2 linked regions of the Caenorhabditis elegans genome follow. The gene in region 1 interacts genetically with each later gene. Each region holds a gene or a part of one and is shown on either strand. Other genes may lie near its edges.

Region 1 (6,039 bases):
AGACTTGCGAGGAAATCAACGGATCTGTCAAGAAGCCACAAAAAGGAACTGAACTCAAGAAAGCAGTGTTTCATAAATAAATTGATTTGATGTGAAATGTTTAAAGAGATTATACAAACTATCATGAACACAAGATTTTAGCTAATGTTATCATCGGAATGTTTATAATCATTATAAACTCGACAAACCTGCTTTCTATTGTTGAACAAAAAATATTGATTTTTGAATTCTTCCTTTGTGTAATTCGATTTGTATAGATTTCCCATCAAGTTCTCGACTAATCTTCCAACTTCGACAAGTTTTATGTGATGTTTTGAGTCAACTAACAGATTAGTTCTCAGAGTATTTTGAGGTCCTTTGTCAGTGTTATAGAGATGCTCCAGCCTTCCGTAAGTTAAAAACTTTTGCATAGAAACTCCGTTCTCAAGAAGTAAATGTACGAAATCGATACGATCATTGGAAAGTGCTTCAATCATTGCATTGTGCAAGTCTTGAGTAGTCCATTCAGTTCCATTTGCGAAGATTTCAGTTCTAGCAATGTCAGCTCTGTTCCAAGCAAGAGCCAGTTGAAGTTGTTCTGGTGGTGATAGGTTTTGACCTTTTAAAAGACATGACATGATTACGTGATCCAAATCTTCTCTCGATGATTCACCCAAACGAAAAATTGTCATCTGAAACAAACGTTGAAGAAGTTTCAACAAATCAGGAAATTACCAAAGACTTGTTTGTAGAGCATTCAACAATCTGCTTGATTAATTTCTGAGCTGTTTTCGGATCATATCCAAATATTCTTCGAACAATGTTTACCAACTGATTTCTGATATTGTCGGATAAAAATCTAAAAATATTAGAAACAATGAAGTACGACTTTTACCTAAAACTAACCCATTTTGTGACACAGCTTGATGAGCAAAAGCCAGAATATCTGCTGCTCGACCACTTCCATCACAAACAATTACGGGTATACGGGGAATACTGAAAAATGTTACTTCTATTACCGACGTGTTGATTGTTTTAAAACAATTTGAGGAATGCAATTTATAATTCACGACAATTTACAGAACATACGTTGTTACATAATCATGAACCATTTTGATAGTGAATGCTCCTCCCTCCAGTACAACACAAACTAATGGAATTGCACTTCTCTTTTTGTCGCCTTGAGCTAAATATGCTTCCAATCGTTTTCGCATTATGATTTCAGCACCATATCTGAATAATACTGTGATTTACTAATAAACTTGAATTATCTACCGGTTGACGGTTCCATTGTCGGAAAACAAAAAGTACGAATGATTATCATTGAGTTCTTTCAATCTTGTGTTATTGAACACATTTGTTGCATATGTTACTGTTGAATCTTTTCCAACAAATCGACTTCTCTGTTTCAACATTCCCCACGAAGCTATTCCAATAGCTACCACGTGATTCTTTGATGTATGGTTTCCATGGTCTAAATTTTAAAATTTATAATTTTAAGTCACAGGCTCTAAGGATGTTTTATGCTTGAAAATTTCACATATCATGCTATCAACAAATGCCTGGAAAATTCTATTGAATATAGAAAATGTATTCACCAAAAAGTGAGCCTCTCGGTATGAACATCGAGTGGGCGAGGAGGACGTCCAATTGAATAACCCAAAATAGCCCAAAAGACCAAAATTCCAAAGCTGAGATTTTTGCAAATTTATACAATTTTTTTAAAATGTGTGCACACTTTTTGAATTTTTCCAAACTTTTGAAGTATCTGGACCAGAAGCTAGAGATCTGTTCCGTACTCCCATTTTTCATTTTAAATCTACTTGCTCTTATTATTCCTATGAAGTTTTATAGTTATTCTAACCATGTAATGCTGAATCCAAATGCTTTACAACTCCTTCATCCAACCCAGAAGTAATAATCCATGCATCAGTTGACTTTGCAATCTTCATGATTCCTTTTCGGAACGTTCGTGCCAATTTCGGTTGCAGACTGCAAATATTATCTTATCATTATCATCTTCATTTATGCTTCCACTCTGTGATATCATTATTCTCGATCAAATTTTATCACATCAAACCCCAACCACCTCGGAGAATTGTGGCATTCTTCGTGACGTAAAAAACGGTAAAGGTATCAGTGAGGAATTTGGAAGAGAAGTAATTGATAGAAAAAAGGTGAGGGGTATGTCCTGGGAACGGAAAAGATTATAAGAGTCTTATGTACATTCAGTAGGTGTTAAGGGAGATTAATTTAGAACGAAAGATCAGGTTCAACTCTTATATACTGCTTTGAATGGTGTTTAAGAGAAAATTGAAAGTTTAATATTTCCAGTGAGTCTAATATTCCTGAAAATAATCAAACAAATTAAAATTTGTTTTCAAGGTTAACTTCAAACTACTCACTCAAACTTTGTTAGTCCGCCGTTTATGGTGATAATCAATTTTGGAGGTTTAAGTTTCCAAACTTTCATCATTAAATGAACAATATCTCTTGGATCCGAATCAAAACTTATTCGAGCATATTGTGCGTGGTGAGCAGTTCCTGAATTTTTAGATTAACTTTTCAATTTTTAAATATTTGAGATAATTTGGAAAAAAGTTTTTTCACAACATAAGAATAGGCAGAAAGATAAAGCATACCTTCGAATACAATATTTCCATATGCATCAGTTGGTACAATTTCTGTGTGTGATTGAATTGACCAACGACCAGGAGTTAAGTTTACCTGAACAAGCTTTCAGGAAAATAATTTTAATTCAAAATAATTACCTCATTATCATCTGCATCTGCATCCGTTGTATCTACTTCATGAATACCAGGAAGAGTTAAATGATTTAATGGATGATTTTTATTCTGACTTCTTTCCAATACTTCTTCTGTATGCTTTGATCTTTCCTTACCACATCCACATCGTTCCGAAAATCGTTGCGATGGGACAAAATATGAACATTGTCTCATTTTAAGACGACATTCTATCCAGTTTTTTCCCTTCTAAAAATAAAAATAGACAATATTTATATTTCTGTTCCACTGTATCAACTTTCTGCCACTTACCAAAGAACCAGCTCTAGTTGCGTGTCCAGAATGGCTTGTTGTCGAGTTTCCGCGCTGAACAGTACACTTTTAAAGATTTTGATCATTTGACAAAACTCAAACTTTTCTTCCAGATATGTCTGCCAAATGGAGCATATCCTTCCAATCAAACTTCTGAACATGTCTTGGAGCTGAGTTCAAGGGGGCTTTGTCAGCTGAAATTGAAAATTTATTCTGGAGGTGTTTTTTTTAAATTCCTTTTCAGAATAAAATTGCATGATTTTTATCACATTTCTGGGCAACTCGCTGCAACTTTCCAGCAACTTTAGCAACTTCAAAAATTCCAAGCGCAAAAGTTGGCTAAACTTGGTTTAAAATATGCTAAAGTCGGGAAAGAAGTTGCTAACTATATCTAAAAGTTGCAAGACAATAAATTTGGCGCTAAAGTTGCTAATGTTGTTGAATAAGTTGCGGCGGATTGCCGAGTTTCCACATTTGGATTAAAATTAAAAATTAATTAAAATTGTTAATGAATTCTTTTAAGGTAATTATGTTTCAAAAACTATAAACTTTAAAAAACCTACAACTAGTGCTTCTTTGCTTCTTTCTTCTCCTTTTTGTCTGTGTCTCTGTCTCTCTTTCACTCTCATTTTCTTCTACAGTAACACTGTTCGCTCGAAGACTTTCTGCAACTGCTTTCTGAAAACATTTGTGATGTTTTTTAATACTCAATGAGTAATATAATTATTTATGACCGATCAACATTTATATGGAATTTTAAAACCTCACATGAATTGCAGGAACTATACTTCCACGTTTTCTGTCCATTCAATTAAAACTTTTTGCTCTGAACTTTGGTATCGATGATCTAGATTTTCTGATTTTCCCAGAAGTTTTTCTGGAATAAAAATCTTTTCACAATATAATTTTTAAGAGAAAATAAATCAATGAAAAACGGTAACCAGGAAAGTAAAAGTGAGTTACCCCCGCTATTAAAGTCAAAAAAAAGTAAGCCATAGATGACAGTTGAAACATGAAAAATTGAGTGAAAAAGAGCGAAGTGATAAGAGAAAATGAGAATGAGGGAGAGTGCATACGTATTGGATTCTTTTTAATCAGAAGACGACTAAACAAATTTTTGTCGGTGATCATTTTTGATAATGAGTCGAAAAGAGGTATTCGATAGAAAGTGAGCTGCGGCCAGCAGAAATGAAAGAATACGAAAAAAAAAAAAGAAAGAGAAGAGTACACACTTTTCGATGTCTGATGATAAAACTATTGGCTCTGGAAACTACACATTTAAAGTGTTAAATTAGATTATATAAATCAATAATCTGAAATGGCATATGATCCATTGCATAGATAACATTTTCAATATTGACTTAATTTCAATTTTATGGATTTTAAGCGTTTTGTCGGTCAGGCGTTGTCTTTTTGTTTTATCATAAGGTTTAAATGATGTCTACACTTTTTAGCTTTATCAAAAAAGACAAATGATGTTTTATAAATACGAAACTTTGAAGAAGCTAATTAACTATTTATTATGTTAGCGACAACTGGCGATTATCCTTTCTGACTCTCTGCAATCTCTCAGCAGGCTTCAAATATTCCAAAATCTCCAAACGTCTTATTTTCTCGCGAATGACTTTGATTCTTCATTCGAAAAAGACAAGATCTACTTGTAAGATAGAAGTTTTTTGTTTTCTTTAAAACATTTTCAGTTGAATTTCGTCAATGTGACTTCTAAGATGATTTTCACTAATTAAAAAAAAACCACGGGAAAATGAATCTATTTATTCAGTTCATAGGATCTCTATTTGCTACAACTGAAGGATGGACATGGAAGATGAGGACGAAGAAGTTTGTTTTCCGAACAAGTCATCGATCCTGAAAAATAAAATTGATCTAACAGAATAATTTCAGAAAAACCTACAATTTCTGAACTTTTGTCACATCACTATCGTTCATAACTCTCTTTGACTTGAGCGAAGTCATGATCAGTGCTTTCTTCTTATCCAATGCCAAATACGACTTGCTCTTCACATCAATATGATTCACGGAAGAAGAAGACGCAGCGGATGATCCAGAGTATGCAGACAATTGAGGAGCAACAATACGAGGCTCCGGGGAGCATGAACGTTCCGATTGAGAAGATCTATATGAAAAGGTTTAGACACTAAGTTAGAATCAACATTTTCATAGCAAAACGTCCAATAGCTTACGCTTGACGTACAGCAGAGTGCAATAGAGCAAAAGTTATTATTCGTTCAATGCTCATTATTTTAAATATTACTGAGAAAAAAAGCAAATACAACTCACGGGGACGGAACGATAGTGCGGTCCGGCAAACTATCAGACGGCTTTGCTCCCACTGTATCTTCATGAAGATTACGAAGATGGGATTCTGCTTGAATAAGTGTTTCGTCGACTTTTTGAACAATTGCATTGAATGCATCTGTGGCGCCAAAGTATTTTGCCATCCTTTGCTGGTATTGATCCGTTTATGAACTTTGATGAGAGCAAAGCTGGGAATGAGGAAAGTCAAACTGTTTTTTGAACTCACGTAAATTCACCCCCCCCCCCTGGTCTATTGTTTTCATTTTTCTAATCAGCAGTTCACGATTTCAAAAATAATAGCAACATTAATTTTTTTTTGGTTTATCAAAATGATTATGTTTATCTTCTTGCTTGTTCCAAAATGCTTGTTCTCGCCATGCAAATTATTTTCTGCTACAACTCTACAACTCTGCTACAACAACTTTAATGTTTTAGGTCGAAAAACCAGGCGGGCGGATAAATTTTTGTCTACGTGGAAGGTTTAGACAACAAGCATGAAATGAATCTGCTCGCATGTGCAGTATCGCTTCAAATTTTTTTATTAATAGCAAAACTTTGAATAATTAGAACTCACTTTGCAGGTATCACAAGAAGCAGGCTTGCTTCTAATTTTTAATATCCAAGAGAGCGTAATAAATTAAAACATTTTTCGGTTCCTATAACATTCTTGAAACCAAGATTTTAGGAA
Region 2 (5,813 bases), 5.9 Mb from region 1:
GTTTTGATTTTACTTTTTCAGCTTCACGCAAACACTGTGATTTTTTTTGAACATTTTTTTGAAAGAAAAAAGTTCTAAATTTTGATTTTGAAAAAAAAAACGCTTTTTTCAAACTGTAGTGTTCCCACAACAAGGCAGACACAAAAATGTTTTTCTTCTCTGTTTCACAAATTCTACAATAACTAATACTTCTTGGATTTGGGCGCATCTTTCTGATCCGTCAAAATAGTAATTTGGTCTGGGAGAACATTTTTTGAACGTTTTTCTTTAAAAACAATTTTGTGTATTTCTAAACATTTTTTAAAAATATTTTCTAAATAAAAAAAAAATTACACGTCGATTTCAACGTTGTAAACAAAGTCAAAACAGTTAAATATTGGTACAAAATCATTGAAATGTTGGCTTGAAGTTGCTTTAATACTCTGAAAACACTGTTTTTGCTAAAAAAAAAATAACTTCAGTGTAATTATATACATTCTTGATTGATTGAAGCTATAAATTTTTTTTTAATTTACAAATTGTTCAATAAAACTTTTTTTCCCTTTTCAACATAGTTTCAAAAAAAGTTTCAAAAATTGACCGGTCAATAGGTAATCTCCCTCATATATAGGCTCCCTCCTTGTTTGACCAGCACAAAGAACTCGGAATTCATCATATTTACAATCATTTAATAATAAGTCATGCGGCGGAGGCGGCAGAAAGTACACCCTATGTGAGTGTGTAAGTCAAAATGTGTATAGAAAATTGAATTTCTATGTTAAACCATTATTTAGTTTTTATTTTTTAAATCATATTCCGCGTTAGAATATGAAACAAATAATTAGGTAAATGTTATTTCTCGATGAACATTTTTTTTGATTTATCCACTTGTGAAACAAACTGTGTGAAACAATTTTTCAAAGTTATAAAAATACTGTTTCAAAACTGAGTTAGTTATAAAACATATGCAGTTTCACTACTATTTTGATTGAAAAATTTCAATATGGAGCCGTTTGAATATTATTCAACAATAATCTGTATTTTAAAAAATAAATATTTATTTTTCAAAATTAAAAAATGAAAACTCTGTTTCACATGTAGTTTCTTTTTTGGAAATTATATTACAGTTATTACAGTTAGAGAAGCATTAACATTTATTCAATGACTTCCGCTTCAAAAACAGTGACTGAAACAGTAGTTTTTGAAGTTAAAAATTAAAATTTTTCAAATTAGTTTTTTTGCTGAAAAACTTCACAACTATCTAATTTTTGGGTAGACATAATTTTTTATGCAACAGTGCATTTTTTCCTTTATATCATACGTTCCATTTTTTGAATATTTTTTCGTATGTTTCAAATTTCTGTTATCCGGATATATCCATAAACGTTTTTTATGAGGGCTTTTCAATGTAAAAGTCAAATAATGTCAAATGTAAAATTTTAAATTACTCAATTTAACTTTCGAATCCTCTTCCTCAAAATAAAAGAAAATAAAAAAAAATCGTAAAATTTGAGCAAAAAATTATGCTGTTTCAAGTTTAGTTTTTTTACTGAAAATAAAAAATTGCCTGACTTCCATCATATTTTTAGAGAGTATCATTTCTCCTATTCGCAGGTCATTGAAAATGTTCAAAAACTCCCAGTAACTAATGGAAGTGGCAGAGAAAATAGAAAAACTCGGCTACCAAATTGTGTTTCTCGGCCATGTGAAAAATTTAGTATATTTTCATCAACTCCATAGCCCCCTGCAGGAAAAATTTTGTACAGGGGCCCCTGTACAAAATTTTCGTGGTCACCAATTTTTTCGCGGCTACTTTTTATATTCTGTTTCAATGACTCTTCATATTCTCTCTCTCAATCTTCAAACCTTAATCTTTTGAATTTTCGTAATTTTCAGATTATCCCCCAACTCACCGCCTTATACGAGTCACCAGTGAATGTCTGCGTCATGTCTGCGTCTCCTCACTCTCTCGCTCTTCATATTAGGTCAATGCAACGTGACAGCTGCTCAGAATGGAGTCGACGATGAGGTGACCACGGTGACGGCGATATTGGATTCGGCGACAACGGCTGCTGCGGACAATTCTACAGTTCCGGTGAGTTTTTTCGGTGGAATAAGGACAATAAACAAAAGTTTGGTTTTTACTGGAACTTAAATTTTTTCTGAAACAGTGAATGTTTTTTATTTATTTTAAATCTGTTACAAGTTGGGTGATTCATTAATAAGTAATGTTTTTTGCGAAAAAAACACAAACAAAAATATAAGTCCTACCTTCATGCCTCAATGAGACCGCCATTAGGCGGCTGGTAGGTGCTGGACCTACCATGTCAGCAATGCACCTACTAACGCTGTCTGAATTAAAATATGAGATTTAGTTTAAAAAATTAACATATTTGTCTTGTAAACACAGTAACAGACAATTAAAATTTTCTTGAAAAATGTAATAGATTCAATCAAAATGGAAAACCAAATTTTACGGTTTCGAACATTGTTTTAACTAATCTTGAGCTCATATAAATTGTTGAAACAGTGGATTTTTGGGCCACCGAAAATTTCACATTCCAAATTTTCATTTAAAAAATCGACATCCTAAATTGTCTGGAACAAATTGGATTTCCGAGACAAACAAACTTTTCACAGTGTCTTCTTTCCTGAAATCGAAAAATAAACTGCTATAAAAATTATTTACCGTTTCCAACAGCCTAGAACAAAACAACAGTTAATTGTCCAGCAATTCCATTACCGTTGAATGCATTGTTTTTAGTTGTATATAATAAAACTTTTCTACAGCTATTTTATCAATGCAACTTTTTAATGTTCACTAATAAGCAATTGTGGAAGCAGTGTATTTTTTAAAATTAAAATCAAAAATTGGTTGCGCATTGGAGTCTCAAATAACCGAATAAAATGATAAATCATTCCGAAAGTTTTGATTTCTCAAAATTTTCAGTCAACATTTTGGTAATTTACCAAAATTTTGGACTTTTACAATAATTTTGGCCCCTAAATCTTTTAACTAAATAAACGCTATATGTTGGCTCAAAAAATTAGTTGAAACAGTGGATTTTTTTGGTTAAAAATTTCGAAACTGACGACTGCCAAAAAACTGTTATTCGAGTTTCTGCAATTCTTGACTTTCAATTTTCAGACCCAATCAGCGAGCAACAACAACACAAGTCAGAGCTCGAAAATTCCAACGATTTTTGGAATGAGAGTCGAACTTCCAGCTGACGATCCGTTTGGTTATGAGTGAGTTTTTAAAACAATCTTGCCAGGTGGCCGTGAAAGATTTTTAATAAAAAATAATTTATCATAAAACAGATAGCTTGGTTATTGTTCTGTTTGCGTAGAAAGTTGTTGTACAGAACAGTAATTCTGTTATTCATTTGTACATCTTGTTAATTCCTGTAATCTTACGAAAAACTAGTTATTTTCGAATTTTTTTTCTGTGTCAAAAATTTTTTTTTCTTAAATTGTTTTGGGCAAATGTTTGTTAAATCCATTCAAATTGAGATAATCAACTGTTAAACTGTACCCGGGACACAAATAGAAACAATAATCGGACGTTGATCAAGAAAACAGTTTGAAACTATTTTGAGTTGAGCTGAATTTTTTCTTATTTCAAATTTGACTGAAAAGCTCCTAGTTTGTATGCGAACATTTCATGCGCAACTCTTCATGATAATTAAGGATGTTTGGTACTGTCAAATTTTTAGAAAAAAATTATTTCAACATTAACAACCGTTGCAGAGTATTTCATCTTTTCTGACCATGTAAAAATGGTCTCAAAAAATTCAAAGTTCTCCTCTCCCGCAAATTTTATCAAAGGGTCCAATTTTTTCAAACCAATGTATTTTTTTGTTTCGTGGCGGGACCCAAAAATCTAAGGAAATTTCATGGTTTTATAAAACTAAAATTTTTGAGCAAACACGGCGTCTGTTCAGTAACTCCAGAAGAAGAGTTCAAAGTGGTAATCTATGGAAATCATTTGGACAAAATCCACCAAATCATCTGGACATTTACGAATAACTGCTCGGAGCCAGCCTACGTCATCGACGCGCTGAACCATTTCAAAGTGCACTTCAACCATAAAGCCACGTTTCATTTGACTTTGAAGCTTCTTCCAGAAATGGTTCATGCCTATAAAATGTGTGTGAAACCGAAGGTTGCACCAGGATCACCGCCGCTCGGGGAAATTTATCCGGTTCGTTGTAGTTCATGTTTTGAAAATAAGTTTTGACTGGAAATTTGAACTTCGCGCTAAATTTTTGGCATAATTTATTACTGTTTCATATTTTGCATAAAATTTGTGAACGTTATATACGGGACTTGGAGACGGATCCTATTGTTACACTTTTGCAAATTTTGCAGGCTGACAAAAAGTAGCAGTTTTCCAAATGAACTTTTCAAATCAATGTTTACAAAATCTGCTTAATTATGTAATTGTAGTGAAACGAAAATTTTTTAAATCAGCAATTTGATTAGTTTTCCAGTTTCTTAAATGGTTATTTTAAAACTGTGGAAATTGTTCAAATCACTTGAAGATTTCCGAACGTAACAACATACAAATTTTCAATCAACTTTCAAGGTTTAAAAATCGATTACAACAAAAATTGGAAAACAGAAAACGCCTCAAAATGTCTACTGTTTCAAGTTCTCCACATAAACTTCAAAACGATAATTTACAGCGCTCTGCAAATCACACTATCTGAAATAAAAAAAAATCCAAATTTCCAGCTCGACGACATCTCCACGTGGCTCACCACAGAACGTCCACCGAAAGAATATTTCCTTCCACTTCCACTTCAAATTGCATGCATTGGATTCCTTCTCTGTCTATCTGCACTTTTCTCAGGATTGACATTGGGCTTAATGTCCCTGACACCCCAAGAACTGGAGCTTGTCATTAAATCTGGAGCCATAAAAGAACAAAAGTGTGCAGCAAAGATCTTGCCGGTCCGAAAGAAAGGAAACCTTTTGCTATGCTCACTTTTACTGGGAAATGTCATTGTAAACTCGGCGATTTCTATTTTAATGGGTGAATTGACGACTGGAATCTATGCACTTATTGGTTCAACTATGGGAATTGTCATTTTCGGAGAGATTTTGCCACAGAGTATTTGTGTCAAGTTAGTTAACTTTTTTCTAAAAGTTTTTTTTCAGAAAATTTTTGAAACAGTGAGAAATTTAAATGCATTTAAAACTGATTCGTTAGTATAGTTTTTAGTAAACTTCTGTCTTTTAATTACTCAATGCTCGATTCACCTAAACAAAAATAAATAAAAACATTTTGAAACAGGTTTTTTTAAAATTTTCATTTTCATTTTTTTTTTCGCTACTTTGATAAGTGCATTTTATTTATATTTCAAACAAAATGGTGCGAACATTGAAAATTGAAGCTAATAATAAGTAGAAAAATAATTGTGAAATTGCAAATTTTCAAAGAATCCGGAACTTTTCACGGATCAGGTACCAGACAAATATAGTTTTTTTTTTTTAAATTGAATACAATTGTGCCATCGATTCTGAAAAAAATTGAAAACTATAATACAATGTTGAAACGGTGCAATTTTTTTAGAAAATAAAATTAAAATTTTTAAAGTTTAAATTTTAAAATTTTCAGGAAAGGTCTTGAAGTTGGAGCCCACACTATTTCAATCACCCAGCTCTTCATTTTCCTGACTTTTCCAATTGCATGGCCGGTATCGAAATTGTTGGATTGCTTGTTAGGCGATGAATATGTAAGTTTTTTCTGGAGTTGACACCTTCCCATAAATATAAAAATTTGACACAAATTCAAAAAATTTTAATTGCTGTTTTATACACTTATGAAA

What was found. A genetic interaction does not mean that the proteins touch.
Region 2: of gtl-1 (region 1) and cnnm-1, changing one suppresses a phenotype caused by changing the other (phenotypic suppression), as found in Caenorhabditis elegans (one study listed by BioGRID).

Annotation. Positions count from the first base shown.
Region 1 is NC_003282.8:11,255,624-11,261,662, forward strand, and holds the start of gtl-1 (TRPM SLOG domain-containing protein), read right to left. Parts: upstream 3,913-6,039; 5' UTR 3,843-3,912; coding exon 3,804-3,842; intron 3,714-3,803; coding exon 3,599-3,713; intron 3,230-3,598; coding exon 3,138-3,229; intron 3,090-3,137; coding exon 3,036-3,089; intron 2,973-3,035; coding exon 2,751-2,972; intron 2,707-2,750; coding exon 2,622-2,706; intron 2,524-2,621; coding exon 2,385-2,523; intron 1,972-2,384; coding exon 1,844-1,971; intron 1,454-1,843; coding exon 1,255-1,453; intron 1,213-1,254; coding exon 1,069-1,212; intron 976-1,068; coding exon 886-975; intron 839-885; coding exon 715-838; intron 672-714; coding exon 189-671; intron 99-188; exon of another isoform or gene 81-98; coding exon of another isoform or gene 1-80. Other genes in the region: C05C12.1 (Protein kinase domain-containing protein), read left to right, coding at 1-80; C05C12.5 (Phosphoprotein), read right to left, coding at 4,835-4,901, 4,948-5,169, 5,334-5,494.
Region 2 is NC_003282.8:17,202,908-17,208,720, reverse strand, and holds the start of cnnm-1 (Metal transporter cnnm-1), read left to right. Parts: upstream 1-1,875; 5' UTR 1,876-1,915; coding exon 1,916-2,074; intron 2,075-2,084; exon of another isoform or gene 2,085-2,105; intron 2,106-2,443; exon of another isoform or gene 2,444-2,464; intron 2,465-2,501; exon of another isoform or gene 2,502-2,522; intron 2,523-2,713; exon of another isoform or gene 2,714-2,734; intron 2,735-2,756; exon of another isoform or gene 2,757-2,777; intron 2,778-2,804; exon of another isoform or gene 2,805-2,825; intron 2,826-2,973; exon of another isoform or gene 2,974-2,994; intron 2,995-3,127; coding exon 3,128-3,228; intron 3,229-3,615; exon of another isoform or gene 3,616-3,636; intron 3,637-3,640; exon of another isoform or gene 3,641-3,661; intron 3,662-3,903; coding exon 3,904-4,183; intron 4,184-4,308; exon of another isoform or gene 4,309-4,329; intron 4,330-4,369; exon of another isoform or gene 4,370-4,390; intron 4,391-4,670; exon of another isoform or gene 4,671-4,691; intron 4,692-4,716; coding exon 4,717-5,108; intron 5,109-5,210; exon of another isoform or gene 5,211-5,231; intron 5,232-5,473; exon of another isoform or gene 5,474-5,498; intron 5,499-5,602; coding exon 5,603-5,720; intron 5,721-5,813. UniProt on the Caenorhabditis elegans protein: Probable metal transporter. Probably acts redundantly with the other metal transport proteins cnnm-2, cnnm-3, cnnm-4 and cnnm-5 to regulate Mg(2+) homeostasis. Promotes postembryonic gonad development by regulating Mg(2+) levels, probably via AMPK signaling.